Oryctolagus cuniculus: one gene and its partner. The protein of the gene in region 1 interacts with the protein of each later gene in a pairwise test. Links are inferred from orthologs where the notes say so. Each region holds a gene or a part of one and is shown on either strand. Other genes may lie near its edges.

Region 1 (15,622 bases):
TATCCTTTCCTGTTCTCTGTCTTCTAAGTCCGATATTCTCTCTTCTGCTTCTCCCATTCTGTTTGTAAGGCTCTCTATTGTGTTTTTCATTTGATCTATTGAATTCTTCACTTCAGTCACTATCCCAGTTTCCTGTTGTACTAGTTGTTTCGTTTCATTTTGATTCCTCCTTAATATTTCATTTTCACAAGAGAGATTTTCTATCTTGTCCATTAAGGATTTCTGTAGTTCAAGAATTTGTTTTTGAGAACTTCTTAATGTTCTTATCAATTTTTTGAGATCTGCTTCTTGCATTTCTTCTATGTCATCATCCTCATAATCTTGAATTGGGGTGTCTTTTTCATTTGAGGGCTTCATGGTGACTTCCTTGTTTTTATTACCTTGGTTTTTGCGTTTGTTATTTGTCATATTGGAGATATTTGGTTTCTTCACTGTGGTGCTTTTTCTTGTTATACTATGACTCTAGATTAAGTGGACTATCTGTTTTTGATGGAGCCTTAGGGCTTGAGATGGGTGTGGCCTGAGAGCTCTGTTTGGTGTGCCAAAGGTGACACTCCCAGGTTAGGCGTGGTAAACCTCTCTCTCTCTCTCTCTCTCTCTTTTTTTTTGATTCAAAAGGGAAGTTATTCTGCACAGCTGAACGAAGTTGGAGGTAGTTAGCAGGCAAATGATATACCCACAGGAGCCAGAGATCAGAAGCTCTTTCCCAAGGACCACACAGGGAATCTGTTCGGCCCTTAGAGTGGGCTCAAATTCTCCTTCAGTCTCCCACTGGGTTGCCAAAGTTACGGAATTGTAGCGTCTCTGGAGAGTGCTCACGTGAATTCCGTGAGTTCTCTCCCCCACCGTCTCTTTTTTCACAGTCTCAGTTCAGTAGCACCACAAATTTACTAGGTCCTAATCTCCTGTTAATTCGCCCCACCCAGAGTCAGGTTTTACTGCTAGGCTCAGGGCCGGTGCAGACCTGAGGTCGCTCTGCTTATGACGTATGTCCAAGATGGCGCCTGCTCTTTGTCTTGCTCGCCCTTGAGAGGTGAGCGGAGAGAGAGAAACCCGTGTCCGTACCAGTCACCTTTTTTTTTTTTTTCCCTCTCTCTCTCTTCCAGTTAGCTTGGTGAAGTCCCCCCCGCCCCGGGGGTCGTTCCCTCTAGTCTCCTCTCTCCGCTTGCCTGCCGGTGTCTCGGGTTATTGAGGTTCGGCTCACCTCACGTTCCAGTGCTGGTGTGTTGAGTCTGCCGCTGGTGTCCCAAACTGTGGGCTCCCATGCTCTCCACGCAGGTCTGCTCCCCTTCCAGTGCCGATGTGTGGACTCGGAGCCCTGGACGTCCCAAGTCTCCCCGCTGTTGCACTCCCCTTCGAGCACTTGCGCGCAGACCCTGCAGCTTGCGCAGCTCAGTCCCGCGGCTCGGTCCTGCGGCTCGGCTTTCGCGCGCGGTGGGCGACCTTGTTCTCCCAGTAGGTCCTCCGATTCACGCCCACTGGATCCAGAAGAGTTTTGTCTGCAATATTTTCCTGGTTCTTTTTTCTGAGGCTACCGTAACTCCCCTTTTATTAAACTAAATTTTCCCGGACTATCGGTGCGTGCCCTCACTATTCCGCCATCTTGGCTCCGCTAAATTATGAATTTTTACACACATCAAATTTGCTCTAACCTATTTTGGAAGCAGTTAAGTCATAAAAGGATTTTTATCTGTTGATACGTCTCTATATAGCTTGTGCCTTACTTTCTTCTGAAATGGTCATGGCATAGATAGCTGAAAATAAGTTCTGAACCATTTCTTTATTTTTTTTCCATATTTCCGACCAAGTTTTTACTGCATCTTTGGCCCCAGAATGTTCTACTCCAGAAAATCTATTCTAATCTAGAATTTTCCCCAGGTAATGTGGCTTATTCTTTTCTCACTCCTGTGCCTAGGGCAACGTCCTTAGGGTTGAGGAAAGTAATTTTAGTTTTATGATTTCTTCTAGAAACATACAAATGTATTAGTCCCCCATGAGAAGCCACCAAGTGATGTCAGGTGAATATTGGAGAACAATAGGCAAGGATTGGTTGGGGAATGGGTCAGCATCCTCAGAGTAGGTATTTTGGAAAACAGAAAAGAAAAGGAACAGGTCTTTTTCTTCAGCATTAAGATCCAATCTAGCTCCTAGTAACTTTAGCCAACACTTTTGTTTGCTCAGCAGTTTGTTAATTCTTTGTTTATTTTGTTTCATCCTGTGCCTCAGACACAGATTTTTTTTTTTTTTTGACAGGCAGAGTTAGTGAGAGAGAGAGAGAGAGAGAGAGAAAGGTCTTTCTTTGCCGTTGGTTCACCCTCCAATGGCCACCACGGCCGGTGTGCTGCGCCCGGCGCGCTGCGCTGATCCGAAGGCAGGAGCCAGGTGCTTCTCCTGGTCTCCCATGGGGTGCAGGGCCCAAGCACTTGGGCCATCCTCCACTGCACTCCCTGGCCACAGCAGAGAGCTGGCCTGGAAGAGGGCAACCGGGACAGAATCCGGCGCCCTGACCGGGACTAGAACCCGGGGTGCCGGCGCCGCAAGGCGGAGGATTAGCCTAGTGAGCCGGCCCAGACACAGATTTCTTTCCAAATGCTCTAAGTTGCCTCTTCCAGATGTTTTTCTTTTGCCATCTTCTACACAGCAAACAACCTCCCTGAGCTCCCACTGGGTACGGGGTGCTTCAAAAACATTGTGAAAAAAAAAAAAACAGAAATGAAAGATAAATGCCTTTTAATCCAAAAAATCTTGAAATCTGTGCATAGTTTTTTCACAACCCACAGCTGCCACCAAGTTTCAGAATTGTTGACCCCAAATAAGCTTACCTTTTAATTTCATTGTCCTGCAAACATTTTTTAAAGATTATTTATTTGTTCGAAAGTCAGAGTTACAGAGAGAGAGAAAGGGATAGAGAGAGAGACGTAAAGGGAGAGAGAGAGAGGGCTTCCATCTATTGATTCATTCCCCAAATGGCTACAATGGCTGCAGGTGGGCCGATCTGAAGCCAGGAGCCAGGAGCCAGGAGCTTCTTCCAGGTCTCTCACATGGGTGTGGGGAACCAAGCATTTTGGGTTATTTTCTACTGCTTTCCCAGGGGCATTAGCAGGGAGCTGGATCAAAACAGGAGCAGCTGAGACTCAAATCAGTGGTCATGTTGGATACCAGCACCACAGGCAGCAGCTTTACCTACTACACCACACTACTGGCCCCGTGGTTATTATTTTGTCACAGGGAAAGTATACAAGTTAGGGGCAGCCCAAGGAAGAAACTCCTAGGAAAGTTCTCGAGAGTCCCAAAGGAACACATCCCTGTCCCCAGGATGTGGGGCATCACCCAGTGCCGATATAGAACACCACACAGGGATGATTGCTAATCCACCACGCTCTGCTGAGCTCACAAGAACAGAGCTGTAATGCATAGTTAGGGTTACACATGTCATGGATGTTGATCTGAGTCTCCCGCTTTCTTCCCAAGGGGAGGTCAGGATGCTCCCACAGAACCCAACACCCCAACTTTGTAAACACATAGATTTCTTATCACATACTTACAGTAGGGGAGGGAAACTCACCAGGCAGGGAAACACTTGGAGGCTAGTGGTCAAGATCAAATGGTGTCAAGGTGGATGCTGGCCATAAAGGCTTCCAGGGGGAAGTGGACCAGGGACAGAATGGGGAGAACAGATGGGAAGACCATGACACATAGAGCTGGGACAGAAACCATTGTGTTGCATTCAAGAGAGCAAGCAACATTTCCTAATTTCCCCCAAATATATGCAACAGCTATGGCTTGGCCAGGTCAAAGCAAGTAGCTGGGAGCTCAGTCCAGGTCTCCCAAGTGGGTGGCATGGACCCAAGCACTTGAGCCATCACTGCTGCCTCCTAGAGTGCACGTTAGCAGGAAGCTGGAGTCGGGGGTACAACCAGAACTTGCATCCAGGTGCTCTTATACGGGATGTGAGTATCCCCAGAGGCACTTTAACTACTATGCCATATACACAAACTTTCCCTTTTTTAAAAAAAAATCCAAAAAGAAACAGGGTCAACATGATCCAATAAATAATGATCCAATAAAGAAGGCACAGAGCCCAGGCTCTGTGAACTTTTAGGGGCTTATGAAAATGCTTCCATTTCTTTTAAAAAATTAGGATGGAAAACTGCAGATAGAACCCTGGAGGGAGCAGTAAGTGACATTTCCTGTAGTTGTCACCTGCATGGGAAACCTGGATTGAGGTCCCTGTAAATATTTGGGGAGTGACCCAGCAACTCCCCAGTTAGCTGCAGCAGCCAGGCCTGGGCCAGGTCAAAGCTAGGATCCTGGAGCTCCATCCAGTTCTTCTAAGGGGATGGCAGGAGCCAACCACTTGGGACATTGTCTGCTGCTTTCCCAGACACAGTAGCAGGGAGCTGAAGGGAAGTGGCAGAACCAGGACTTGAACTGTTGCCCATATGGACGCCAGCATTACACCAGGGCTACCTATTCATGCCATGCACCCTTTCGTAAGATTTAAATTGGAGACAAGCCTCTGCCTGCATTGGCCCCAGGGCCAGTGACTTGGAAGAATTAAACACAGAAATGGAAAATAAAACACGGTCATAGGTTAAACCAAAGGGAGCATCCAAATGGATGACAAGAGCAATGTTCACCCCCTTCCCCTCCAAATGCCTACAGCAGCCAGGGTTGGGCCAGGCCACAGCTGGGAGCCAGGAGCTCCATCTGGGTCTCCCATGTGGGTGGCAGGGACCCAGTCACTCAAGCCATCATGGCTGCCTCCCAGAATCTGCATGAGTAGCAAGTTGCAGTCAAGGAGTTGGAGTCAGAAATTGAACGTGTGGACCACTAGGTCATATGTCACTAGGTCACCACAACCACTAGGACCAATGCACACCTCCTTCTTGGCCTTTTTGCTTTTAAAGGAAATTAACTTAGGGGTTGGTGCTGAGTCCTAGCTACTGTTATAGCTTCTGATCCAGATTTCCGCTCATGCACCTGGGAAGGCAGAAGATGTGCAAATGCTTGGGCTCCTGGTACCCACGTGGGAGAACCTGGGTGCAGCTCCCATCCCATGGCTTCGGTCTGGCTCACACTTTGCTGCTGCAGCCATTTGGGGAAGTTAACCAGCAAATGGCAGATTTATCTCTCCATCTCTCCCTCTGCCTTTCAAACTAACCAATCAATCAATAAATGTTTAGAACAGAAGACACTAACTTATCAACACTGTCTTGGACTCCTAAGTAGAAGGACCTAATCCCACTTTACCCATGAAAAGCCCCCAAATGACCTGGTGCCCCCTTGGCAACCTGCCATGCTCTCTCTTCTGGCCACTAGGGGCTGCCATGCTGGCCCACCTTCACCAGGGAGGCCTGGGCCCTGGCAGAATCCTTACCACCTTCAGCTTTGGGTGAGTTCTTTTAGGGGCAGAAAAAAAAAAAAAAACAATGAACACACAACAGTGTGCAGATCAAAGTAGGCTAGGTTGAGTCATAGCCAACCCCTCCTGGAAGTGTCTATGCACTAACTACCCTTCCCCGCCAAATTTCTGGAGCAGGTCTGACATGGTGTCTAAAAGGCTATGGAATTGGAAGTAGCAGGATTTTGTCTAGATTAAACTGGTGGGCTGTCTCGTGAACCCTTAAAACACATGAGAACTTTCTTTGGAGAAAGACAGAGAGGGCTCCCATTCAAGTCCCTGCTGCTCCACTTCCAATTCAACTCTGCTAATGGCCTGAGAAAGCAATAGAGGATGGTCCAAGTCCTTGTGTCCCTGCACCCAGGTGGGAGAGCAGGAAGAAGCTCCTGCTCCTGGCTTTGGATAGGTCCAGCTCTGGCCATTGTGACCATTTTGGTAGTGAACCAGTGGATGGAAGACCTCTCTCTGTTGCATTGGCTCTGCCTCTCTAACTATGCCTTTCAAATAAATAAATGAATCTAAAAAAAAAAAAAAAGAAAAGAAAAGAAAAGAAAAAATAAACAAACCTGCCTAAACCACTTGGTTCCTAGGCCCCCAACACTAGCTCCTCCAGAAACCAAGATTTTTGCCTTTATTGTGCATTTGATGACAGCCACTGGGAAATCCCAGCTGTCTACGGGGGAGAGCTCTGTGGGCCAAATGTGTCCATGGGGCTCAGCTCCCATAGTGGGTCAGAGTCCCCCGTGGGGTAGAGTGTGCAGTATAGAGTCTTGGGTCCTCACGGGGAAGATCCTCACTGGATCTTGATAGGGTCTGGGAAGGGGCAGGTTCCAGAGGGTTCTGGTGGTGGTGGTGGGGCCGATATCTGTGGGTTAATCTACAGAGTCACAGTGGATAGGTGGGGGTGAAGAGGGGTCCCACAATGGAATGGGTTCCAAGTTTGAGTGGAGGTCTGAAGTTTCAATGGGGGGGCTACAATTTAGGGGAGCAGTTGTGGGGGAGTCAGACTCGGGGGTCTAGAGTTTTCTCTTGGGAGGTGAGATGGCCTGCTTGGGGGGTCTGGAGTCCAGGTATGGGGGCAGGTAAGGTCCAGGCACTGTCAGGACTGAATTCCAGATGGAGTGGCATGGGGTCTCTGGTCCCAGCAGAGGCTGAGTGAGGGCATCAGAGGGCTGGCTGTGGTGGTATATGGTAGGAACAGATTTGGGTGGGGCTTGCAATGCAGGGGACTGTCCTGGTGGGGACATGGGCGGGGGTCTGCTGGTAGAGCTTTGGTCAGCAGTCCAGGGGGATGGTACAGGTACTGGCAGGTGTGGGTGGGAGTTAGCAAGCTAGGTAACCAGTCCAGGCAGGGATCCCTGCTAGGATGTGGGGGGCTGCCATCTACGTGGGGGTTTAGGCAGGGGTGATACTGATTTGCTTATTCATATTTCTGAAATTAATAAGCTGTGTGGGCTCTGAATATTGGCGCAAATAGACCAGATGACATGAAGTTTTTCAACCTTTTTATTCAGTGAGAAATGCATAGGAAAGTGAGGGCTCAATCTAAATGAGAAACGAAGTCTAGATCTTTACCTAGCAGAGAGTAGGTCAAGAGCCACGTGTAAGCATTTTTTATTTATTTTTTTTATTTTTATTTATTTATTTTTTACAGGCAGAGTGGACAGTGAGAGAGAGAGAGAGACAGAGAGAAAGGTCTTCCTTTTCCGTTGGTTCACCCTCCAATGGCCGCCGCGGCCGGCGCGCTGCGACCAGCGCACCGCGCTGATCCGATGGCAGGAGCCAGGAGCCAGGAGCCAGGTGCTTCTCCTGGTCTCCCATGGGGTGCAGGGCCCAAGCACTTGGGCCATCCTCCACTGCACTCCCTGGCCACAGCAGAGAGCTGGCCTGGAAGAAGGGCAACCGGGCGCCGCTAGGCGGAGGATTAGCCTAGTGAGCCGCGGCGCCGGCCCGTGTAAGCATTTTGTTATGAGCAGCTACCATTGGCAGCTTATCATGGCAGAGATCACGGGCAGCCCAAAGGCCAGGTGCCCAAAGGCATAGGGCAACAGGGTAACAATGGTCAATAATAGGGAAAGTGCCTGACCCACCTTGTTTCAGGCCTTTTAACCACTCCAAAGGGGAGTGGTTATGTAGCCTGATTGGCAGGCGGGCATACAGGTGGGGTCAGGTAGGGGCAGGAGATCACACAGGAGGCGTGGTAAAGGCGTGGTCTGTCAGCTCACAAATCTAATCCAGTCTGCCTACATCAGGGGGTCTGCAGCCCCAGCGGGGTCTCCGCGGGGACGTGTCTGTGGTTAAGCGGTCTGGGCCGGGGTCCACAGGCCCAGCAGAGGTCTGCAGTTCAAGTGGGGCCCTGTTGTGGGTCTACGGGCTCAGGGAATGGGCAAGGGGTTTCCAGCTGGACGGGGAGCTCCTGGAGGGGATTTGGGGAAGCGGTCCCCGGGCTGGACTCAGCAGTCTGGGAGGGGGTCCTGGTGCAGTCAACGAGGGCCTAGGCGGGGCTGTGGGGAGGATTTCGCGGGCCTGGCCGGAGTCAGCAATCCAGGCAGAGCTCCCGGAGGGGCTACGGGGAGGGGTCCGCGCTCCGAGGCGGCGGGGGTGGGGGCGAGGTGGGGTGTGTGTGGGAGAAGGCAGTCAGGGTTGGGGGTCCGGCGGGCAGGCGGGCGCGGGGGCGGCGCGTTGGGCCGTGCAGCAGTGCAGTGCCAAGCGCCGCGGGCGGGCGGTGCGGAAGTGGCGGCAGCTGCGGCGCTGGGGCCGCCATGTCGCCTTTGTCTGCGGCGCGGGCGGACCTGCGGGTCTGCGCGGCGGGGACTGCGGTGATCCTGGCGCAGCCGCTGCGTCGCTGTGGCGGGGGCTTCACCGAGCTAGGTGAGCCGGCGGGTGGCGCGGGCCGGGGGCCGGGTGGGGCCGTTATGGCGGCGGCGGCTTCGCGGGGCCTGGGGTTCGGGTTCCGCGCTCCCTGAGACCCCCGGGGTGGGGCTGGGCAGCACCGTGGAGGTGGTGAGAGGTGGGCGCGGGCACGGACCGGGGTGGCGCTCTAACGTCGGAGCAGACGCAGTGGCGGCGGCGGCGGCTGCGCTGGACCCGGGGCGCGCTCCGTGCTCCCTGAGACCCCTGGGGTGGGGTTGGGCGGCGCCTGGAGGTGGTGAGGGGTGGGTGCGGGGCTTTACCTTGGCGTGGGAGGCGCTGGAGCAGCCGGGATCAGAGGCCATGGGGTCCTTGTGGGGCGCACGCTCCTCCCCTACCCAAGCACTGCCCCTTCACCCGGAAGACCCCCTTGCCACCTGCCGTGGGCCGGGGTCTCCCTTTAAGATCCTCCGAGTCCACACAGGGCCATGGCCGAGGTTACCCGGGCACCTGCGCCCTGCGCTCCAGACCTCAGGCGCCTGTCCCCGTTGCCTGGGTTCAGCTTGTGGCCCTGCGCTCTGCATGGCTGTCCCATGCGACCCACCTCGCTCCCCAACCCAGGGTCAGTTAGCAGAGGCCATGCCAGGAAAGGGTGGGCAGAGTGCCTTGGAGGAGTTGTATATCTCGGGGTCGGGGGTGGGGGACCGGGGGGCTGGGGATGTCACTCTCGGGGAGGTCTTGGCCAGCAGAAAATCACTTCCGGTCAGAGGCCACTTTTGTGGTTGTGCCTTGGAAAAAACACCTTCCTTTGAGTTGCAAACACTGGCAAACTTGCAGATGACAAGTAAGTGTGAGGTGAAATGTGTCCTTTTTATATAATGTGTTTTCTGGTTAAGCCCGGAGTTCCTCATCACTCAGCAGTTGACCGGACCTAGAACTGAACCAGGAGAGAAAGGGGTGCACCGGCAGCTTGGTATGGGACGCTCCATGCCAGTTTGTGCTCAGAACCCCACCCTGTTCCCCCTCCCTATTTCTTCCTGACTGGAGGAAGGAACTGCCAGTCTGCGCCCAGAACTGCTTCCCCGCCCCTGCCTACCTCTGACCGGACAAGGGAACTGTCTGTGTCTGGAACCCAGCCCTCTTCCACGCCCCTGCCTGACACTGACTGGAGGCAGAACCTGCTAGTCATTGCCCATCAGCCCGCCTCATTTCCCACCCTTGCCTGTTCCAGTCTGGATGGGAGACCTGGCAATTTTATTCTTGGAATCTGAAAATTGCATGTGCTCTTTTAAGACATTAAAATCATCCAGGGGGCTCCAGACTGCTATGCCTCTGTTCTGTGTATTTAACAAATGTGTAAACTCTTTACTTAGTGTAGGGTTAATCTTATGAGTATAAAGTAAACTGAAAATAGATCTTTGTAAACATTTTTTGAATCAGAATAAATCTTAAATTCTATTTTCCTGTGCACTTTTTAAAGATTTATTTATTGTTATTTGAAAGGCAGATGCAGGATGGGCAGGTGCTGGGCTGAGTACTCTGCCTTGGTGGTTTAGTGAGTGGTAAGCAGTGGCCCAAAGCAGAACATATGGGCAAATTCAGAGTTCAGACTTTTTTTAAAAAATAGAAACAGAACACCTTTCATGTAGTTCACAGATAAAATTCTTTTTTTTTTTTTTAAGGATTTACTTTTTTTTTTTTTTTTTTTTTTTTTTTTGTGAGGCAGAGTTTCAGAGGGACAGAGGCAGAGGCAAAGAGAGGTCTTCTGTCCTCTGGTTCACTCCCCAAATCACTGCAACGGCCAGAGCTGGGCTGAACTTAAACCAGGAGCCAGGAGCTTCTTCTGGGTCTCCCACATGGGAGCAGGGGCCCAAGGACCTGTGCCATCTTCTACTGCTTTCCCAGGCCATAGCAGGGAGGTGGATCAGAGTTGGAGGTGGGACTCAAACTCAGACCCTGTGATATGGCATATGGACACCACAAGCTGGGTCTTAATCCCCACAAGAAACACCTGCCCTATATATCATTTTTCAACAAAAAGTAACTTGCCCAGAATGACAAGACGTTATGGGGCAGAGTGGCCTTGTTTGGGGATTTTCTCTGTTTCTATATTGACTGCTGGGTAGAAGGGAACTGGTTTTTCCACATTGTTTCTATACCGTTCTCTCTTGTGATCCATTTTTTTTTATTATTATTAAATCCCAGAAGGAAAATCTGAGAAATGTGGCAGCTCATTGTATAGGTGCAGAGTTGGACAAGGTAGCAAGTAATGGGAGTAGTGGCTATAATAATGGAATATAAATCAATCTTCCGGGTACCAAGATCTCTTTGAGCCAAATACCAACCATTGATTATTCAACCCCTGTTGACATAATTACTACTAATAAAATTAATGGAAGCTCATTCAATCACAGTGGTGGTGATAATGGAATATAAATCCAAATTCTAGGTACCAGGGTCTCTTTTAGCCAAATACCAACCATATCAATTCTCTGTTGAAATAATTGCTTCTAATAAAATTAATAGTAGTAGTAGTAGTAGACTATCAAGCTTTGTTCTAGATATCAGAACCTCTTTCCACCAAATGATGATGGTGGTGGGGATAGTTATGATCATGATGGTGAGAGAATTAGCCTCCATAGAACCTCTGTGGTCCCCGCGAAGGGATGAAGATGATCATAGATGATGATGACTGTGGTGGTGATGATGACAATGGTGATGCTGATGACAGTGATGGTGGTGATGATGACAGTGATGGTGATGCTAATGAGGGTAGTGATGATGACGGTGATGATGGTGATGGTGATGATGGCAGTGACAATGGTGGTAATATGACAGGAAGATCTCACAAAGGAGGGAACTGGAGAGTACGCAAGAGAACACTGGAATCTCATCACAGTAACTGCGGCCTTGTCCCACCTTTGGGAAGCTGCTGCAACCAGGAATGCTTAGGTAATCAGGCACGTGGTAGTGTTATCATCCTATAAAGTCTCCAGCAGGCACCGTTGCATGAAAGTGAGCATTACCTGGTGTAAGTGTTCGTGAGGAAGTCTCAGAATGGCCCCCATCCATCACTGGGGCAACGTGGACACTCCTGATACCCTTTATCCTTTTACATCCACTGTGTGAGTTTCCACTGGGGTGCCATAGCCCCATAGCCAAATACCACTCATAGAGTGACTTAAAACCACAGCTATGTGTATTCTTGCACAATTCTGGATGCCAGTGTTTGAACTCAAGGTGCTCGTAGGGCTGTGCTCCCTCCAGAGGCCTTAGCAAAGGATCCTTCTCTTATGGACTGAGTTTTTCTGTGCCCTTCATTGTGAAGGGAATGTGCCAGTATTTAGAGGTGGGGCCCATGAGAGGTGAATAATTGAGCTCTCCTTTCCATGTGAGGACAGTCAGGAGATGACCCTCTATGAGCCCAATACAGTGTTCTCACTGGAAACCCAATCTGTGAACAACTGGGTCTGGGGCTTCTGGCTTCCGGCTTCCAGCTTCCCGCTTCCAGAACTGTGAGAAATGTGCATTGGGTAAGCCATCTAGAGCAAGCTGACTGAGACACCTTCATGGCCTCCTCCAGACTCTTCGGGTTGTAGCTGCACCCCTGCAGTATCTTCCTTCATTTCAGTTGGCTTCTCCTCTGTGTCTCCTCTTAAGGACACCTGCCATTGCATCATCTGGGACAGCTTCATCCTGAGATCTGTCCCTGAATTAATCTGCAAAACCCTATTGCCCACTAAGGTCCCGTTTACAGCTTGGGAGATGGGTGTGTGTTTTGATGTCTCTGTTCCATTCATTGTAGTTGTGTCAAGTTTACTGTGTAAGCTCCGGGGAGAGGATATCTCTTTCCTGCCTCTTCCAGCTGCTGGTGGCTCCAGGCGTCCACATCTTTCTACTCGTCTTTCTCTATCTTGTGGTTTCTCTGTGGCTTCATCTCCTCATCTGTTTGCTATGAGGACACTTCTCAATTGATTTAGGGGCCACTCTAAGACAGGATGGTCTCATCTCAACACCTTTCTTATGTTTACGTAGACCTTGTTTGCAGATAAGGCTTAGCTCCAAGATACCTGCTGGTGAATCGCTCTTCAATTGTTCTTCAACCCACAGTCATCATTAGTGAGATATGTTTTGCTTGATTATGAACATACCCTAAATTCTCAGAAAATGCATGGGAGGTCAAGTTTGTTATTTAATGTTCCAACAGCTTGTAGATGTAACCAGCAGTTTTAAGAAAACCCAGCCTCCTTTTTGGGCTCCTTAGTCATGGACACAGTCCAAAATGGTAGCTTGGAGCTTCTGGACATTTGTCAACAACAACAGGAACCCCAGGGTCACCGGCTTCTGGGTCATCAACATTACCACAGCAAGATGCTGATGATGTCACACGATGATGTCACACGCTGATGGGCACAGCAGATGTGATGTTTCTGCCCTCAGATGGGGCTGCACTTGCAGAAATCGCGTGTGTGGAGAAATCCGTGGTCACAGATCACAGATTATGTGAAATCTAGAGTGTGCGATGTTTGAAACAGATTTTCTTCCAATGTACAGTTTGTAGGAAGTGTTCCTGCCTCTTACCCCAATTAAAATAATCTCCATAGTGAACGCAAAGTCCTGCTTTTGCTTCTCAGGTGTGCTTAATTCCAGCTGCAGTGCCATTGGATGTGGGTTTTTGCTCTTAATCAGCTCTAAGGCAAGTGGGCAGTGACAGTGCAGGGTCTGCCTAGGTGTGTTTGGGCTCCCTAGATACAAGCAGCCTCCTCTAAAATGACCTATGCAGCTCTCCCGTGTGCCCAGTTCCTGGTGGGCCCCCAAAAACAGTCAGTAGCAGTCAGCCGCTCTGAGGAATGAGCTGAAAGGGATGGCCCTTCTGAACTGCCATGTGTAAAAGCAAAAATGTTTCCTGCAGCTGGAACATGTGCATAGGATTCAGCTGGAAGAAAGAGCAGGCTTGTGTGTTACATTGCCCTCGGCTTGGCGGAAGCCGCAGGCCAGGAAACCTGACCCAGTGAGCCGCAGCCCCCTGTAAGTCCAAACGGAGCTGCTCCTTCCTGTGTGGGCCATGTTGCTCAGGGTGCCTGTGCGAACCCGGGTCCCTTTGCTCATGCTGTGTTTGTCTCACTGCTTCATAGCAGGTCCGCACGGATGAATGGACGTCCACCTGGCAAGGCAAGGCTCCCAGCGGACAAGCCATGGAGAGTAAGAGTCTGGAAGGTCCCCAGGCAGACCTGAAGCTGGTGGCCCACCCCCGTGCCAAGAGCAAGGTGTGGAAGTACTTTGGCTTCGACACAGACGCGGACGGATGCATCTTGCAGTGGAAGAGGATCTACTGCCGCATCTGCATGGCGCAGATCGCCTACTCTGGAAACACCTCCAACCTGTCCTACCACCTGGAGAAGAACCACCCCGAGGAGTTCTGTGAGTTCGTCAAGAGCAACACTGAGCAGATGCGTGAGGCCTTCGCCACTGCCTTCTCCAGACTCAAACCGGAAGCATCCTCCCTGCAGTCTGTGCCGGACACACTGGCCACCACCACGGCCCCTGCCAAGGCCGGCCACAGCTACGAGAGCAAGAAGCAGCAGGAGCTCACAGCTGCCATCCTGGGGCTCATCTGCGAGGGGCTGTACCCAGCGTCCATCGTCGATGAGCCCACTTTCCGGGTGCTGCTGAGAACAGCCGACCCCAAGTACGAGCTCCCTAGCCGGAAATTCTTCACCAGCAAGGCCATTCCGCAGAAATACGGGGAGGTGCGGGAAGCCGTGCTCAAGGAGCTGGCTGATGCCTCGTGGTGCGGCATCTCCACGGACACGTGGCGGAGCCACAGCCAGAACCGAGCCTACGTGACGTTGGCGGCCCATTTCCTGGGCGTGGGCTCCCCCAGTGGCCTGTCCATGGGCTCCCGGTGCCTGAAGACCTTCGAGGTGCCGGAAGATAACATGGCAGAGACCATCACCCGTGTGCTGTACGAGGCCTTCATTGAGTGGGGCCTCAGCACCAAGGTCTTTGGGGCCACCACCGATGCTGGGAGGGACATGGCAAAGGCCTGCTCCTTGCTGGACATCCCGGTGCAGATGCCGTGCCTCGGCCATGCCTTCGACGTGGCCATCCAGCAGGCCTTCCAGTTGCCCAAGCTGGCCGGGCTGCTCTCCCGGTGCCGTAGACTGGTGGAGTACTTCCAGCACTCGCCTGTGGCCATGTGCATCCTGTATGAGAAGCAGAGGCAGCAGGGCGTAGCCACACCACCATGCATGCTCGTGAGTGACCGCGTGTGCTGGTGGGGCAGCACGCTGGCCATGCTGCGGCGGCTCCAGGAGCAGCAGTTGGTTGTAGCGGCTGTGCTGGTGGAGGACAGCAACAACCACCACCTTATGCTGGAGTCTGCTGAGTGGACCACTGTGGCGGGACTCGTGGACCTCCTGCAGCCCTTCCAGCAAGTGGCTGAGACACTGGCCACCTCCAGGTACCCCGCCATCAGCATGGTGAAGCCACTTCTGCACATGCTTTTGAACAGCACGCTCAGTGCCAAGGACACGGACCCCAAGGAGATCAGCATGGCTAAGGAGGTCATTGCCAAGGAGCTCTCCAGGACATACCAGGACAGCCCTGAGGTGGACCTGTTCCTGAACGTGGCTACCTTCCTGGACCCACGGTACAAGAGGCTGCCCTTCCTGTCTGCTTTCAAGAGGCAGCAGGTGGAGAACCGTGTGGTGGATGAGCTGAAGGGTCTTCTCGACAAGGCCCAGGATGCCCACTTGGGGCCGACAGCGTCTGAGGACAAGGTCTACCCTGTACCTGAAGAGCCGCCGGCCAAGAAGCTCCCGCTGGCATCCACACCCCCATCCAGTACCGCCATCCACGACCTGTTGGCTGAGATCTTCTGCCCTGTGGACTGTGGGGAGGACCAGGAAGAGTGGCACGCCCAGGCTATGGAGGAGCTGAGCAATTTCAAGTCACAGAAGCTGCTCGGCCTCCACGAAGACCCCCTCAAGTGGTGGTCGGATCGCCTAGCACTCTTCCCTGGCCTGCCCAAGGTGCTGCAGAAGTATTGGTGCGTGGCGGCCACGCGTGTCTTTCCTGAGCGCCTCTTTGGATCATCGGCCAACATGGTCAGTGCCAAGAGGAACCGCCTGGCCCCCGCGCATGTTGATGAGCAGATCTTTCTCTATGAGAATGCCCGGAGCTCTGGGGCTGAGGGTGAACCCCAAGATGAAGATGAGGGCGAGTGGGGCTTGGACCAGGAGCAGGTGTTCCAGCTGGGGGATGGCACCAATGGCACCTTCTTTGGCATCAGAGACACCAGCTTCTTATAGGGACAATGGTTTCCAATAGCTTGAGAACTGCGATGAATTCATCTTGAAAAGTCTT
Region 2 (14,619 bases), on another chromosome or scaffold:
TAAGGGGATTTAAATGCTAACTTGTGGACTGGTGTCCCATAGAAAAGATAACCTCCGCACTGACTGCTGCGTGTCTGGAAGGACACCCACGCTCAAGGCTCTCTTGTCTGCAGGCCCAGGAAATGACCTACACTCTGCATCTCATGTCGACACTGGCCAGCGAGGACCACACTTGGAGTAACAAGGGCCTGATCTGACTCTCAGCTTTGTCTCCAGGAATGTGGAGAATTGGAATGAGCTCACAGGGGAGGAGGCGATGCTTAACCAAAAGCCGTGACCTCACTGTGGTTGGACTCCTGGCACAGCGGCAGGCTAATGGGAGGCATGGGGGCCTGGCCTCTCGCCTCAGAACAGCCACAGCCACAACGCTGAGGCTCATGAGGGTCTGGGTGGGCCAACGTGAGAAAGACTGCCCACTGCTTTCAGTCCTGCAGAGCAAACCCTCCTGGTGGGAAGCACCGTATTTAACATGGGACGTGAACTTGACCTAGTAGGTAGTCCTATCGGAGAGCACTTCTCTCCAAAGCAGAGGTCCTCAAACCTCAGTGTGCCAGTCAGTAAACATTGTGCACCCACTGTGTGTGGGCAGAGGCTCCCATACCGGGTATGGCAGAGACCGAGACAGGCAAAAAATCCCTCCTCCGGAGATGTTTTATTCTGGCTAGAGTGGACAGACCACAAGCAGTAGACATGACAAGTAAGCAGAAGCACATGTTAGATGATGAGCACGTTGGGGACAAGGACAAGGCGAGCAGGTTAAGGGAGGCCGAGGCGCTGGGGAAGGAATGGAGCAGACGTTGCCAGGGTGCTCAGGGCGGCCTTGATTTGAGCAAAGACCTGCAGGGAGTAAGGGAGTTGGCCACTGGGGTTCAGGGAACAGCTGGAAGCCAGTGAGCCTGAGAGCTAACAGGGGCAGCTGACACCAGGCCCTGAAGAGCACTGAGAGAGAGCCATTGCAGGACATGCGCCAGGGCTGCTGCGTGGAAGGTTACAGGATCCTGAGGTGCAGAGGCCTGGGTCCTGGCTAGAGCCTGGTTTACTGGGGCTCAGATAGGCCTGGGAATCTACATCGTGCCAGGCCCCCCGGTGACAGATTCTCCCGTATATGGTGCAGGGCTGCAGCACTACCTTTGGCTCGTCCTCGTTGTTTTCCATGGCCCGGCTGCTGCAGATTTGGATGCATGAGCACAGGGTAGCACAGGCCCCAGCTGGCTCCCGGCTAAGGCTTCTTCATTCATTAGTCATGATTTGTCCTCGGAGGCCCGAAACAGAGCCTGCAAAGACTCCGTAACGATGAAGACGGGATGAATGGCAAGCTGTCACTCTTCCATTCCCACAGGACTGGGTCTCCCATTCACCTCCCCTGTGCTACAGGCATGTGCAGCTCGAAGCTCTGCATCGCCCAGAAAGTGCTTGGGTCCCTGCAGCCATGTGGGAGACCCAGACAGACCTCCAGGCTCCTGGTTTCTGCCGGGGACTTGCCCTGGTCTTCAAACCAATGGATGAAAGAGCTCTCCCTCTCCTCTCTCTTTCGAATAAATAAATCTTTAAACACACACACATACACACACACCCCAAGGCAGAGTGGCAGTGGCCATTTTCTCGGGGTGAGTGCAACCCACTGGCCCTGAGAACGCTCAGTTGCCACAGGCGAGCCTCGCCGGCTTTCCTACCCAGCAGCCCTGAGTCCCGCTCTTCTCCCAGGCCCACCCTTCCTGGCCTCATCTCTCCCAGGGCTCTGCCAGGGCCTTCTGGGGTGGCTGCCAACCCTTGCCTGCCTGGAACAGCTCCAGGCCCCAGGACTGACCGGCTTACTCAGAAGGGACAGGTATATTTCACATGAAGAGCGGCTTCAAAGCAGAGCTCTGGGGTCCAGCATGGTGTCTTGGGGCGAATCCCAGTGGCAACCGTCTCATGCCCTACACTGAACCTCATCATCCCGCCCTCCTGCAACATAACCGGACCAGCCCAGGGAACTCGTGCCCAGGAAGGAACAGTCACACAGAGCTTTCTTGGTCATTCGGCCTTTGGAAAGAATCACTTAAAGAACATCAAGCCACTCAACTCCCAAGAGCCTCAGAGTTTTACACCCAAGGCTCTTTGGACCCTGAGCCTCAAAGCCCCCAGCTGAGTCTACTGACCTGTGACTGTGTCGTGAGCCTTACCCCACGCTAAATAAGGCTTCATCCCCTGCACTGAAAGCCCCGCCCCAAATTGGACCCTAGCACCTCAATCCCAACTCTGACAACTTGGAAAACCATCCGTGCAGAACACGCCCTCCTGCGGGAAGAGTAGGATCAGCTGTGCCGAGCCAGGGGGCGACCCGGGGCGTGCACAGGGCCCTGTGTAGGTGGGAGTTGGGGAGAGCAGCAGCCAGAGGCCAGGCTAAGCCCCAAGGCAGTCACAGTGCTAGCCTGGCTGTCCTAAGAGAGCACAGAAGCTCCAGACAGGCCTGCTAGGGATCCCTGCTTCAGCCCCCTCACTGGCCTTCTGGTGGGGGAGAAGGGGTGTATCCAGAGCACAAAGCCAGCTAGGATTGTCCCAGGGGTTCAGGGAGGTGGTAACTGTAACCTGTTTAAGACACTGAACTCTCTCTGTGCCTTCAAATACAAATAATACTGTGTCTGGCCTAAAGCTCAAGGCAAACTCAAGTTGGCCTCTCAGGTATAAAAAAGCAAGACCTGGAGATAGGTGTTTTAGTGTAGCAGTTCAGACCCGCTGGGAACACTTGCCTGGGTTTGAGTCCTGGTTACCCTTCCTGTTCTAGCTTCCTGCTAATGCATACCCTGAGAGGCAGCAGGGGATGGTTCAAGTGCCGGCCACCCACATGGGAGACCCAGACCGAGCTCCTGACTCCTGGCTTTGGCTTGGTTCTGCCCTGGCTCCTGGGAGCATTTGGAGAGTGAAGCAGTGGATGGACACTGTCCCTCACCTCTCAGGTAAATGAAAATTGAAATTTTTAAAATAAAGGAGCACCAGACTTTAACCTTGAACCCCAAACAGTGATTCTCTAACTGTAGTGTGCATCAGAACCACCTGAGGGCTTGTGAAGACAGTGTTTTCTGATTCTGTAGTGGGGGTTGGGTCTAGACATCTGCACCTGCCTAGCGCCCCTGTGGTCCCTGTGCTGCTGGCCCAAAGACTTCTCTTTGGGAACCGTGGACCCAGAGGACCGAATTACTAGGGTTGTGATTTCTGGCACAGGGAAGGGAGAAATGTGCAGACACTGGGCCTCTTCATCCTCTCCCAGGTGCACACTCCCCTGGGCTGATGTTTGGCTATTCTGGGCATGCATCAACCTGCTTGGTTGCTCCTGCATTCACAGTGAATACAAGTGGCACCCCAATGTCACTTAACATACTTTTAGGGGCAGGGGTGGTGGTGCTGGGGTTAAGCTGCTGCTTGGGACACCTGTATCCCATATCGGAGGGCCTGGTGAGTCCTTGTTACTCAGCTTCCAATCCAGCTTCCTGCTAGTGTGATCCTAGCAAGCAGCAGGTGATGGCTCCCCTGCTGAGGTCCCTGTCACCCATATGGGAGACCTGGATGGAGTTCCGGGTTCCTGGCTTCAGCCTAGTCTAGCTCTGCCATTGTGGGAATTTGGGAAATTATCGACAGATGGAGTATCTCTCTCTCTCTTCCAAATACACTTTAACAAAAATAATTTTAAACAAAATATATTTTTAAAATTTTAATTAACACATAATACAGAGTACTTCAAAAATTCATGGAAAGTGGAATTAAAAGAGAATTTTTTAAAGATTTGTTTATTTATTTCTTTGAGAGGTAAAGCTACAGAGAGAGAGGCAGAGGCAGAGAGTGTGGTCTTCCATCCGCTGGTTCACTCCCCAGATGGCTGCAACAGTAGGAGCTGAGCTGATGATCCAAAGCCAGGAACGAGGAGCCAGAAGCTTGTTCCAGGTCTCCCACGTGGGTGCAGGGGCCCAAGGACTTGGGCCATCTTTCACTGCTTTCTCAGGCCACAGCAGAGAGCTGGATCGGAAGTGGAGCAGCTGGACATGAACCAGCGCCCGTATGGGATACCAGCGCTTCAGGTAGAGGCTTAGTTCAGCCCCTAGAACTTTCTTTTGGTGCAAAAAAAATTGTGAAACCCACGCCTAAGAGAGGTCATCTAAAAGTTCATGGAAACGGGTATTATGAATACAACCAGGCATAGATTTCACCAAAAGAAACTTTCTCTTTTAATCCTCTTTCCCATGGACTTTTTAGAGTGTCCTTGTACATACTGATGGCACCGTGTGACATCTTACTATATGAATATGATGGACGTGATCAGAGCAGGGCCACTGGCACACCCACCACCTGTGACACTGAGAACTGCTCTGCCCAAATCACCTTTCCTCATGCTTTCGCCAAGAGAGGTGCCCCTCTGCACAGGGGGCTGGTGTGGTACCCAGGCCACAGGAGGTCTGTGCAGTGAGAATTAATCCAACACCAAGCAGGCAGGTGAAACCAACGGTCTTTATTGCAGAGGGAAGCTAAAGGACTCACTCACTCCGTGAGCTCTGATTCAGGGGCTCCTCGGCCCAAGCTCCCCCACGAGGCAAGGGTGAACTCTCCAAGCAGAGAAGAAAGCAATTCTCAGAGGCAGCCCTGGGAGGCAAGGGGCCTGAGGTGAGCACCTGGGGAGCAGGCAGCTTGGCATGCAGGAGACAGTGGGAAAGACAGGTGCAGAGGGCAGGGAAAGCTCCCCCCTCCCCTCCCGGTGACGGGGCTCACTCCCTTCCCTGGGAATGCCATCAGATCTAAGGCCAAGCGTCTCCCAGGGCTGGGTTAGGGAGGGGCTGACACAGACTCAGTCAGATCCCTGGAGGAGTCAGGGATAGAACTGAGAGCCTTCTCCTGCCACTCGGAGGACATCGCTTCCCAAACTATAAAGTGCTTGTAGGAGTCATCTGGGGACCTTGGTAAAATGCAGACTCAGAGTCAGGAGGGCTGGGGTGGGGCCCAAGACCCTGCATTCCCAACAAGCCCCCAGGTGACACAGATGCTGCAGCTGGTGACAGGCTACACTTGGAGCTGCAAGGCTCTGGCCATGCACTGCCTTGGTGCACACTAGGAAAGTGCCGCTCCTCCCAGCAAGGAGGACACAGGATGTCCCCCAACAGCCCTGGCCAGACTGGGCAGCCCTGGAGATCTTTTCTTGACCGCCGCACCCTGAAAACCCTTTCCCCAGAGTCTGGCCACCCAGGCCCCGGGATACGAGAAGAGGGAACAGGCTCTCTGCTGCAGAGCCAAGAGACAGGAGCCCCAGGAGGAAAGGAGCCTGGGGGCGGTCTGAGAGGAGGTCTGAGCACAGAACAGCTTAACTCAGGAGCAGTAAAGAGGTCCCACAGGACGCAGGGTTTGGGTGGCCTGGCTTTGTCCCAAGTCCCAGGGCCTGAGAAGCTCACACAGAGGTGCCAGCTGGCCCCACTAATGAGAAGGTGGGAGGTAGATACCTAAGAAATCAAGAAATCAAGGGGTCTGCCGGGCACAGGTGCTTCCAGAAAGCAGGAGTGCCAGGTCCCCTCCTGGCGGGACCAGCCGTCCCTGATAGCCTCCCAGTTTCAGCCCCACATCCCAGGAAGCTCCTGGTCCCTGGTAGGCTGGCTGGCTGGCCACTCCACTGCCTGGCCACATCCAAGGCCTTGAAAGGACTAGGTAGGTCACCAGGGCTCTGGGAGTGGCCCATAGAGTCTTCTGCCTGCACATGGCTGTGACCAGACAGCCAGGCTGCTGCCAGAGGGACCATGGTCACAGGTGCAGTGATTCACAGACACAGCAAACCGCCGTCTTCTCTCTGGGCCGCCTCTCCTGCGGCTCAGCTGTGAGTACTGGGTACCCATGCTGGCACACACCAGTCACACTCCAGGGAGGAGTGGAACCCGCACAGCTTCCGACCCCACGGCTTTCTTAATCAGGAGGAAGGACAGAGCTGCCCTGCCGTGCTCCCCAGTGTCCCGGCCGGACGCAGCAGGCCCCTCCATAACTGTTCTCGTGTTCAGGCTCCTGCAGGTCCAGGGAACCCTGGGCTGAGGATGGGCACTGTTCTCAGGAAGGAATACATAGATGGGGACTGTCTTCTACTCTCCCAGGGGGCACCTGGCTCTCAGCGCTAGGAAGGAGGCCTCAAGCCCACAGGGCCCAGGAAGCGCTCAGCAACACTCATCTGTGAGCTCCGAGATGCAGACAGCATGGAGGTGACGGCACCACGGCCTGCCCAAGAGACCTCCAAGCAGGCAACAGCTCCACCCCAACACCCATTTCCCCAGCAGCAAGGCTCAGGGGGACGGCGGGGTGCCCAAGTTTGCACAGCAGCCATGAGGGCCCAACCAGCTGCAGCCCTCTCGCTGACCCCGCCTGCGGCACTCCAGGGCCCACTACTGCCCTAAGCTACCCTGGGCCCGCGGCACCCTCCCAGCACGCAGAATCGGCCTCCTTTGGGCCTGCGGGAAGCCCTCCCCACAGTGGGGCAGGCCAGAGGCCGCTGTCCCTTGCCGGGCGGGCACAAGGAGAGTGGCCTAGGGCGGGGGAGCCCGGGCGCCCTCCGGGGACATGAGCAGGTCGAACTTGATGAGAGGCGGGGCGATGACGCGCACCTCCGCGCTGAGCGGGTTGAAGCGCAGGTTGACGCAGCGCAAGGCCGGCATGGCCGCCAGCTTCTCCACCGGCACATCTGCGGGGGAGAGAAGGACAGGTTAGACGGGCGGGGCTGCGCAGGCACAGGCGGGAAGCAGGACGCAGGGGCGAGGAGACGTGCAGCATACGGAAATCCAGATTCCAGCTGTCATCCACTCAGCTTGTGTAAAGATACAGGGGCACCACCCCAAACTCAGCAAAGACGCCCCACTCTGACAAACGTAAAGTAAGCAACGATGCAACCAGAGCAAGCTCCTGAAAGGAACAGGCAGTACAGCCCCGGTCCGTGACGGGCAGGTGTGAGCAGGGCCACCTCGCGACCTCCACCATGCCCCTGTCCCCGGAGTCCTGCCAGGGAAAGGCCAAGTGCCTGGCGCTGCACCGGCCTGGGGATTTCCCACGGTGGACTGGGATCGTGCACAGTGAGCATCACGGGCACACAAACATCTACCTTCCGTGTTAATTCTGATCACGCAGCCAGTGTGCTACTTCATTTCTCCACTGCATAATTATTACCGCTGCTTCCAACTGAGTCCACGGGGACATCCAAAAAGCACACAAATACCCAGCTCCTCGCCCACTCTCTGCACCCACAGGCCCTAGGCCTGGCATCCACCGATGGTGCCCCCCTAAACTGATCTTCCTCATGCCCCAGCAGGCCCTCAGCCCCTACTGTGAACTGGAGTCTTCTCCCCACTCCCAGGCACCTGTTGACTACCAGTGCAGACTCCCCACTTTCTAAAGATTCACAGCTCATGGCTGTGTTTCTCTTGGTCCTCAAGCTGCCCCAGCCGTGGCCATAAACAATCTGCTCCTGTCTTCCGCCTGCCCCCAGGGTTCTGGATACACTTCCCAGCAGTGCATTCTGGGGTGTGCTTCCTCACCTACTGGCAGGTCGCATCCGGAGCCTTCCTGCCCTGGCCCTGGAATCAGTCGTTTTTCCAAGAAGCGTTGGCTCCTCTCAGTGTGGAGGGCACAGTCCCCGCACAAGGCCCTGTGCATGGCCACTCCATTGCCCGCGTGGGTGTGTACACACAACCTCTCACTGTGCTCCAGAATTGCTGTCCCTCCATACCACCCCATCAAGGGCTTTCCACACGGGCTGCCTGGCCCTGCCAGGCCCCACCCCAGGCAGACAGACCCCCAGCCTTCACTAAGGTTTCCCAGGCTCTTCCCTTCGCATGCCTGGAGCCCTGGGGAGGGCCCCTCTCCTCTGGGCTTGGTAACTGGGATGTAGGAACTCCCCAGCTCCCCCCGGGAGAAGGGGAAGGGCAGTCATCAGCTCAGGACAATGCCTCATGGGTATGTGCACACTCGGGTTTGTACAGTGCTTCCTGGTTAATCCTCCCCTAGCCATGGGGGCCGAGCAGCACAGGTGAGGAAGCTGAGGCTCGGCCAAGCCCCATCTCAAGGGCACACAGCTCTTCAGAAGCAGGGCCAGGGCCCAGGTTTGCTGCCTCCTGGTTCCCAGCACGCCCCACAATACCCAGAGGTGGGCAGGGGAGGAGAGGAGGCACCTGAAGGGCTTTAAACCTGAGCCCACAGGTGGCTTCACACCCAGGGGAGCTCCCTGGGGCCTCTTCTCGCCAGGCCTGTCAGCCCACAAGATTCCTGGCAAAGTGGAAATGTGCAGGAGTCTGGGTCAATTTTGTTGATGACAGTGGTTTTCTAGATAATGTGGGTTGATTGCCTGCTGACTAAAAGCTTCCTTATCTGAGTGCTATTATTATCTCCATCTTCTAGGTGAGGACTGATGGAGTGCAGAGAAACTAAGTAACTTGTCCAAGGACACACAGCCAGCAAGTGCTGCAGCCAGGCTAGGAAGCCAGGCTGGCTGACTCCCAACCCGAACCCTTCAGGCCACCTCCTACACAGCCTTCCAGTCTGGAATATCCACCCCCCTCCCAAGCTAGAACCCTCCAAAAGATCCCTAGTTAAGGGAGACAGAAAATGGTCTTCCTGCGGGGCTTCCTGGGACCTAACAGGGGTGTCTGTCTTGCCCTGATCATGAGACTCATAGCCCCCTGGGCCACGCAGCCAGGAGCAGACACACACACACACACACACACACACACACCCCGCCAACATCACCTGCAAAGGAAGCCGGTGGGGGTGGGGGCAGGCACAGGGCAGGCATCACAGGCTCTCCAGGCCCTGTAAGGTCCCCATAACAAGCACTTCCTTGCTGACCTGCCCTGATAGAAAGGGCTTCCTGGAGATGGTCTCATTGCTTCCAGAACCTTCCATGCTTCCTTATTCTGCTCTGAGTCACAGGGCAAAATAAACAGCACTTCTAAGGCCCACAGCCCAGCCAATACCATCACCTTCTTTAGGCAAATGCGCCCAGATTCTTCACTTCCATGTAATAATCTTCTGGAACAATGGGGTGGGCAATGGGGTGATGGTGGGCAACGAGGTGATGGTTAGTTGTGGGAGCTTTGGAATCAGAAGGCAAAGCCTGGCTTTTCTAGCAGCAGACTGTGTGGCCCTAGACGGGGTCTCTGAACCTCTCACATGTAGGAGGCGGCCCGCTGCCAACACTGCAAGGAGGGCACAAGGATCAACAAGATGCCTGCACACAGAATGCAGCTCAATACCCCAGAACACACATCAACAAATCTCAGTCCTGGCTCCCCATTGCTAGTCTGGAGCCTGCAGCAGTTGAGTCCCGCCCTGGGTCTGCGAGGACAAGCCCCCGGAGCTGAGGCAGCTTCATATCAGCCTGAGCTCACGGCCGAGACGGCCTGGTGGTCAGATCACGTGGAACCACAGCAGCTGCAACTCCCAGAGCCCCTCACCCCTACTCACAGAAGATCAGAAGCCCCAGGTTTGGCCTCTCCAGAAAGAGGTTCACGTTCACAGGCTGCTGGCCAGAGGCTGTCTAGGTCATGGCAGACAGACAGGAGGGCAGGAGCCGGGAAGGCTCTGCAAGTTGAGGGACCTGAGGCACAGCAGGAGGCACTGTTCCCCCGGGTCCCCCGGCACTAGGTGGCGGCACTGGTGCTGAGCTGCAGAGAGGAGCAAGGCCGACAGGCAGCCAGATCCCTCACACACCCAGCCTCTCAGCTGCATACAAGCAGGGCTCCGAGTGTGGGGTCCAGTCCCCAGCCTTGCCCCATGCGACACAGCAGGAATACTGGTTACTAGGCAGCCAGTGGAGCTGGTCACTACCTACCTACCTATTGGGCACTCGGGAAGCACTGGACAGGTGAGAAGGTGGGCATGAGTCGGCAGGAGGGGATGGGAGAGTCCCATGTCCAAGGCAAACTTGGGGCCCCGGGGAGGTAAGAAGCAGAGGCAAGGCTGTTTCCAGAAGGCAGGCTAGCGCCTCAGCCCAGCACTTGCGTGCCTCCTGCAGCATGCCCCAGCGCTCATTCAGATGCACGCTGCATACTGGGTGTGGGAACTGAAGCAGGGGTTGCCTTTCCCCTACCAAGAATGGCTGGGAAGAAAAGCACAGATTCCTTGGAATCCTGACCTTGCCAGATCAGCAGTTGCACAGCAGCATGGGCAGAAGCCATTCCTCTGCCCTGATGGGTGTCTAGATGCCACCGCAGCTGGCTTTTCAAAGGGAAAGTCTTTCCTGGGGTATCCACCTCCATGGGCCACAGGAGGAAACCAAAGTGCAGGGGGCTCCAGCCCTGAGGCCTGTGCTAGATGGTTTCTCGCAAGGACCCACTGTGCACATCAGGACACTGAACCTCATGTCCTCGGGGCCCAAGGTTGCCAAGCCAGGACGTGGTAGAGACAGGACAGTTCCTGATCCCCAAGCCCATGCTCCATCCTGCAGCACAGAGAGGCAAAGCCATGGCCACACCCATCTGCTGGCGCTGGCCCTCGGCCCCCAGAAGGCAATCACAACAGGCAGGTTTTGCCAAACACCTCAGTACAGGTTGCACCCTGGGCTGAGAGTGTCCTAACCTCAATTGTTGAGACACTTCCCCAGAGCTGCTCAGTCACACCAGCTCCCCCATCTGCCACCACGCCTGGTACTGCCTCAGTTTCTCCAAGGAGCTGAACTGGAGCGGGGTTTGCTTAGGACCCTTCTCACTCTGGACTCTGACTACACCACCCCCTAGCCAGGGAGACCACTGCCACTGGTTTGCTGGGTACAGCACGAAGACCTGCTGCAGGCAGCCACGGAGCAAATCCCTGAGACTCCAGGCACAGTGGGAGCTGCGCTGCTCGGGTCTCCACCTGCACTTGTGTGCCCAGCATCCTCTGAGCCACCTGGTAAAGGACAGTGACAGTGATGGGGACTAGCCATGCCTGTTCCCCTGATTTCACTGCCAAAGTCACTTGGACAGCTTAGCAGCAGGAGCAATGGAGCCTTCAGATCATGTCAAAGCTGGAAGAATGAACAAACCAGAGCAGGCAAGCTAGCAAGCAATCACCCAAGAAGCCAGCTGGGAATTTCTAGACAAAGCTGAAAGATCATTTATGTTCAAGGCATCCTGCCTGGAGGGGGAGAAGGTGGAGGGCGGACAGGAGGATGTGAAATGATCTGCATTTGCAGATGAGAGAGGCTAAATTAGCTTCCTCGGGGCCACACAGCAGGTCAGCAGCACTGGTTTCCAAAGCCAGGCCTTTGGACTCTGGCACACCCGGAGAGGAAGTGCCCTGGTCCACGCCTTCGCCCCCACCCACCATGTCCCACTGCTCCTGGGATTCCAGCTCAAAGGCCACCTCTACATGCACTCCCCTTGGATACCTTCCAAAACCCTGACACCACTTTCTGTATCCCACACCACGCTCTGCAGCCTGGACTAGGTTCACCCACTGCTGTAAGCGAGGTGTTCAGCACAGAGGCTCCATGGCTGCTAGATGGAAGTATGGACGAGTGGTCAGCTTTCAACTAGACCGAAAGTTCCTGCAGGCTGGAGCCCACTCTGTGACCACAGCCATTTGGAACCCACTTCCCAGCTTGAGTCACTACATGTGTATTTGCTGGCCAGGGCCAGGCCTCTGAGGACCAGGGTGGTGACAGGACCCTGGCCCCTTGGCACTAGCAATTATCTTAGTATGAAAAGAATGCTGGGGGCTGGCGCTGTGGCTCAGAAGGTTAACGCCCTGGCCTGAAGCACCGGCATCCCATATGGGCTCCTCTTCCGATCCAGCTCTCTGCTATGGCCTGGGATAGCAGTAGAAGATGGCCCAAGTCCTTGGGCCCCTGCACCCATGTGGGGGACCTAGAGGAAGCTCCTGGCTCCAGGCTTCGGATCAGTGCAGCTCCGGCCATTGCATCTAGGGAGTGAACCAACAGATGGAAGACCTCTCTCTCTGTCTCTACCTCTCTCTGTAACTCTGCCTGTCAAATAAATAAAATAAATCTTTTAAAGAAAAAAAAAAAAAAAAGAGAAAAGAATGCTGAGCAAAACCGAACCACGTCTCAGCATCTAGAAGTAATCACTGCTAATGTGTTGGTACATGGCCTGTCCAACTTAAAAACTTTTTAAAGATTAATTAATTTGAAAGGCACAGTTATAAAGACAGAGAGAGAAATTGTCCATCTGCTGGTTCACTCCCCAAATGGCTAAAATGACTGGGACTGGGCCAGGCCAAAGCCAGGAGCCTGGAACTTCATTGGGGTCTGGTAGGGGCCCAAATGGTTGGGCCATCTTCTGATGCCTTCCCAGGCATGTTAGCAGGGAGCTGGATTGGAAGTGGAGCAGCCAGGACATGAACCAGCACTCATATGGAATGCCAATATCACAGGTAGCAGCTTAACCCATTGTACCACAATGCTGGCCCTTAAAACTATTTTTGTAAACTTATTTTTATTTGAGAAGCAGAGAGGGGGAGGGGAGGGAGATCCCATTGGCTAGTTTACTCCCCAAATGTCCATAACTACCAGAGGGGCCAAAGCTAGAACCAGGAACCCAATCCAGGTCTCTCATGCAGGTGGCAGAAACCCAATCACTTGAGCCAGCATGGCTGCCTCCTAGGGTGCACATTAGCAGGAAGCTGGATCAGAAGCAGAGGAGCCAGGACTCAAACCAGGCTCTCCAACATGGGGTGTGGGCATCCCAAGCAGCGGCTTAACCTGCTGTGCCACAAAGCCTGCCAGTTAATGAGCTTGTGTGTGTGTGTGCACACACACAATCTTCCACATATGCTTCAAAATGGCCGCAACATACTTTCTGCATGGCATGCCGCGTCTTTCAAGTGCATGTCAAACTAGTGACGCCTGCACAGCTGCCTCCGAGTCTGCAGCCCCTCGCCTCCTGTTTCTGTTGCTCCCAGCATCTCACATCTCTTTCAGCCCGTGCCTGCAGAAGAGAGGATGCGAGGTTCCAGCTGCCTTTTTTGAAGCCAGGGTAACTAACATCCCTTTCACTCTGCACAGCCACGGAAGCACACCTGGGACGCAGTCCTAGGCCTTTGCTGCAAAGCCAAGTGTCCTGAGTGGGGACTTGAGCCAAAGACGGGGCAGCCCATGGCAGGGAAGAAGGACCCAGCCAGGATTAAAGACCGAATCCTGCCTGCTTCCTGCCCACGTCTGCGGGAAGCTTACATTGATCAATAGCAGCTGAGTCAGAGTGGGTAGTATTTGTAAAAAATTACTTTCCAGAAGTCAGCTTGACTTCACCTCACTGGTCATTAGCACTATTGACTGGTAAACTTGCTTTAAGCCAGTGGGGCCAGCAGAGAGGTGAGCTGATAAAAACAGTGGTTCTGGAGTGCTAATCTCCATTCCTTGAGCTTCTGGGGGCTGCAAGAGGAAGAGGGGTCCAGGCCCAGGCAGTGGCAAGGGCTAGTGAGCTCCCTGCACAAGCCCATAGTCCCTGCCTCTGCATCTGCTCCCTGCTGGAGAAAACCCTGAAAATCCAGGCTGGCCAGGAGCCAGGGCTGGCTCCAGACTCTGGCTTGGTGCCTGGAGACAAAAGCAAGAGTCAGGATGCCGAGGGGAGCTGAGCTTCACACCCCTACTCAAAATGCCACAGAGACTAGCAAGCAAGCTATGGTAACCCAGTGGGGCCAGGGGCTAGTGCCTGCTGCAAGAAGGCTCCCAGGCTAGACACATCGCTGGGTGGCAGTCAGGGTGGCGGCGACCGAGCCTGCCCCACCCTCACAGGCCCTGGACACAGTAGTCTAGTGTGGAAGGGCTGGGCACGCACAGAAATATAGGTGGCCCTGTCCTCAGGGGCAAGGAGGCATCTGCCTGCCTGTGCCCAGCCAGCAAGCTGAGTTCCAGCCATCAGGGAAGGCAATGACAAGGGGAGCCCTGAGTCCACTGCTGACCAGAGGCCATCTGGGAGCCTGGGAAGGGCCTGGGAAGGGCCATGGGCACCCCCGGCCACCTAGAGCCAGGCCCTGAAGCCCTCTGAAGCCCATCAGAAAACCAAGCCCTTCTGCCCCATGGTGTCTGGGGTAGGGTCGCAGGGAACAGTGTGGGGACCATGAGGTTCTCTCAAGCAAGATGGGCCTACCGAGGTACACAGAATATTTCTAGAATCCATTAACAGGGGCATAGTAGGTAAAGCTGCCGTCTGCAGTCCGGACATCCCATATGGACACCGGTTCGAGTACTGGCTGTTCCGCTTCCAATCTAGCTCTCTGCTGAGGCCTGGGAAAGCAGAAGAAGATGGCCCAAGTCCTTGGGCCCCTGCACCCACATGGGAGACCTGGAGGAAGCTCCAGGCTCCTGGCTTCGGATTGGCACAGCTCCGGCCATTGCAACCAATTGGGGAGTAAACCAGCGGATGGAAGGCCTCTGCCTCTCTCTCTGCATAACTCAAATAAATAAATGAATAAATCTCTTTTTATTTATTTATTTGAAAGTCAGAGTTACACAGAGAGAGGAGAGGCAGAGAGACAGAAAGAGAAAGAGAGAGAGAAAGAAAGAGAGGTCTTCCATCTGATGGTTCACACCCCAGCTGGCTACAACAGCTGGAGCTGCACCAATCCGAAACCAGGAGCTTCTTCCGGGTCCCCCACATTGGTGCAGGGGCCCAAGGACCTGGGTCATTCTCTACT

Evidence for each region.
Region 2: the proteins of ZBED1 (region 1) and LRRC20 interact in binary tests that used the Homo sapiens proteins (3 or more experiments, as listed by UniProt). The two-hybrid records come from large-scale screens. The link is inferred for Oryctolagus cuniculus from reciprocal best matches to the Homo sapiens genes ZBED1 and LRRC20.

What each region holds. Positions count from the first base shown.
Region 1 is NC_091433.1:98,526,015-98,541,636, reverse strand, and holds the start of ZBED1 (E3 SUMO-protein ligase ZBED1), read left to right. Parts: upstream 1-8,095; 5' UTR 8,096-8,275; intron 8,276-8,968; exon of another isoform or gene 8,969-9,098; intron 9,099-13,389; exon of another isoform or gene 13,390-13,392; 5' UTR 13,393-13,449; coding exon 13,450-15,567; 3' UTR 15,568-15,622.
Region 2 is NC_091446.1:61,862,748-61,877,366, forward strand, and holds the end of LRRC20 (leucine-rich repeat-containing protein 20), read right to left. Parts: intron 6,680-14,619; coding exon 6,525-6,679; 3' UTR 4,615-6,524; coding exon of another isoform or gene 4,603-4,614; 3' UTR 4,469-4,602; downstream 1-4,468.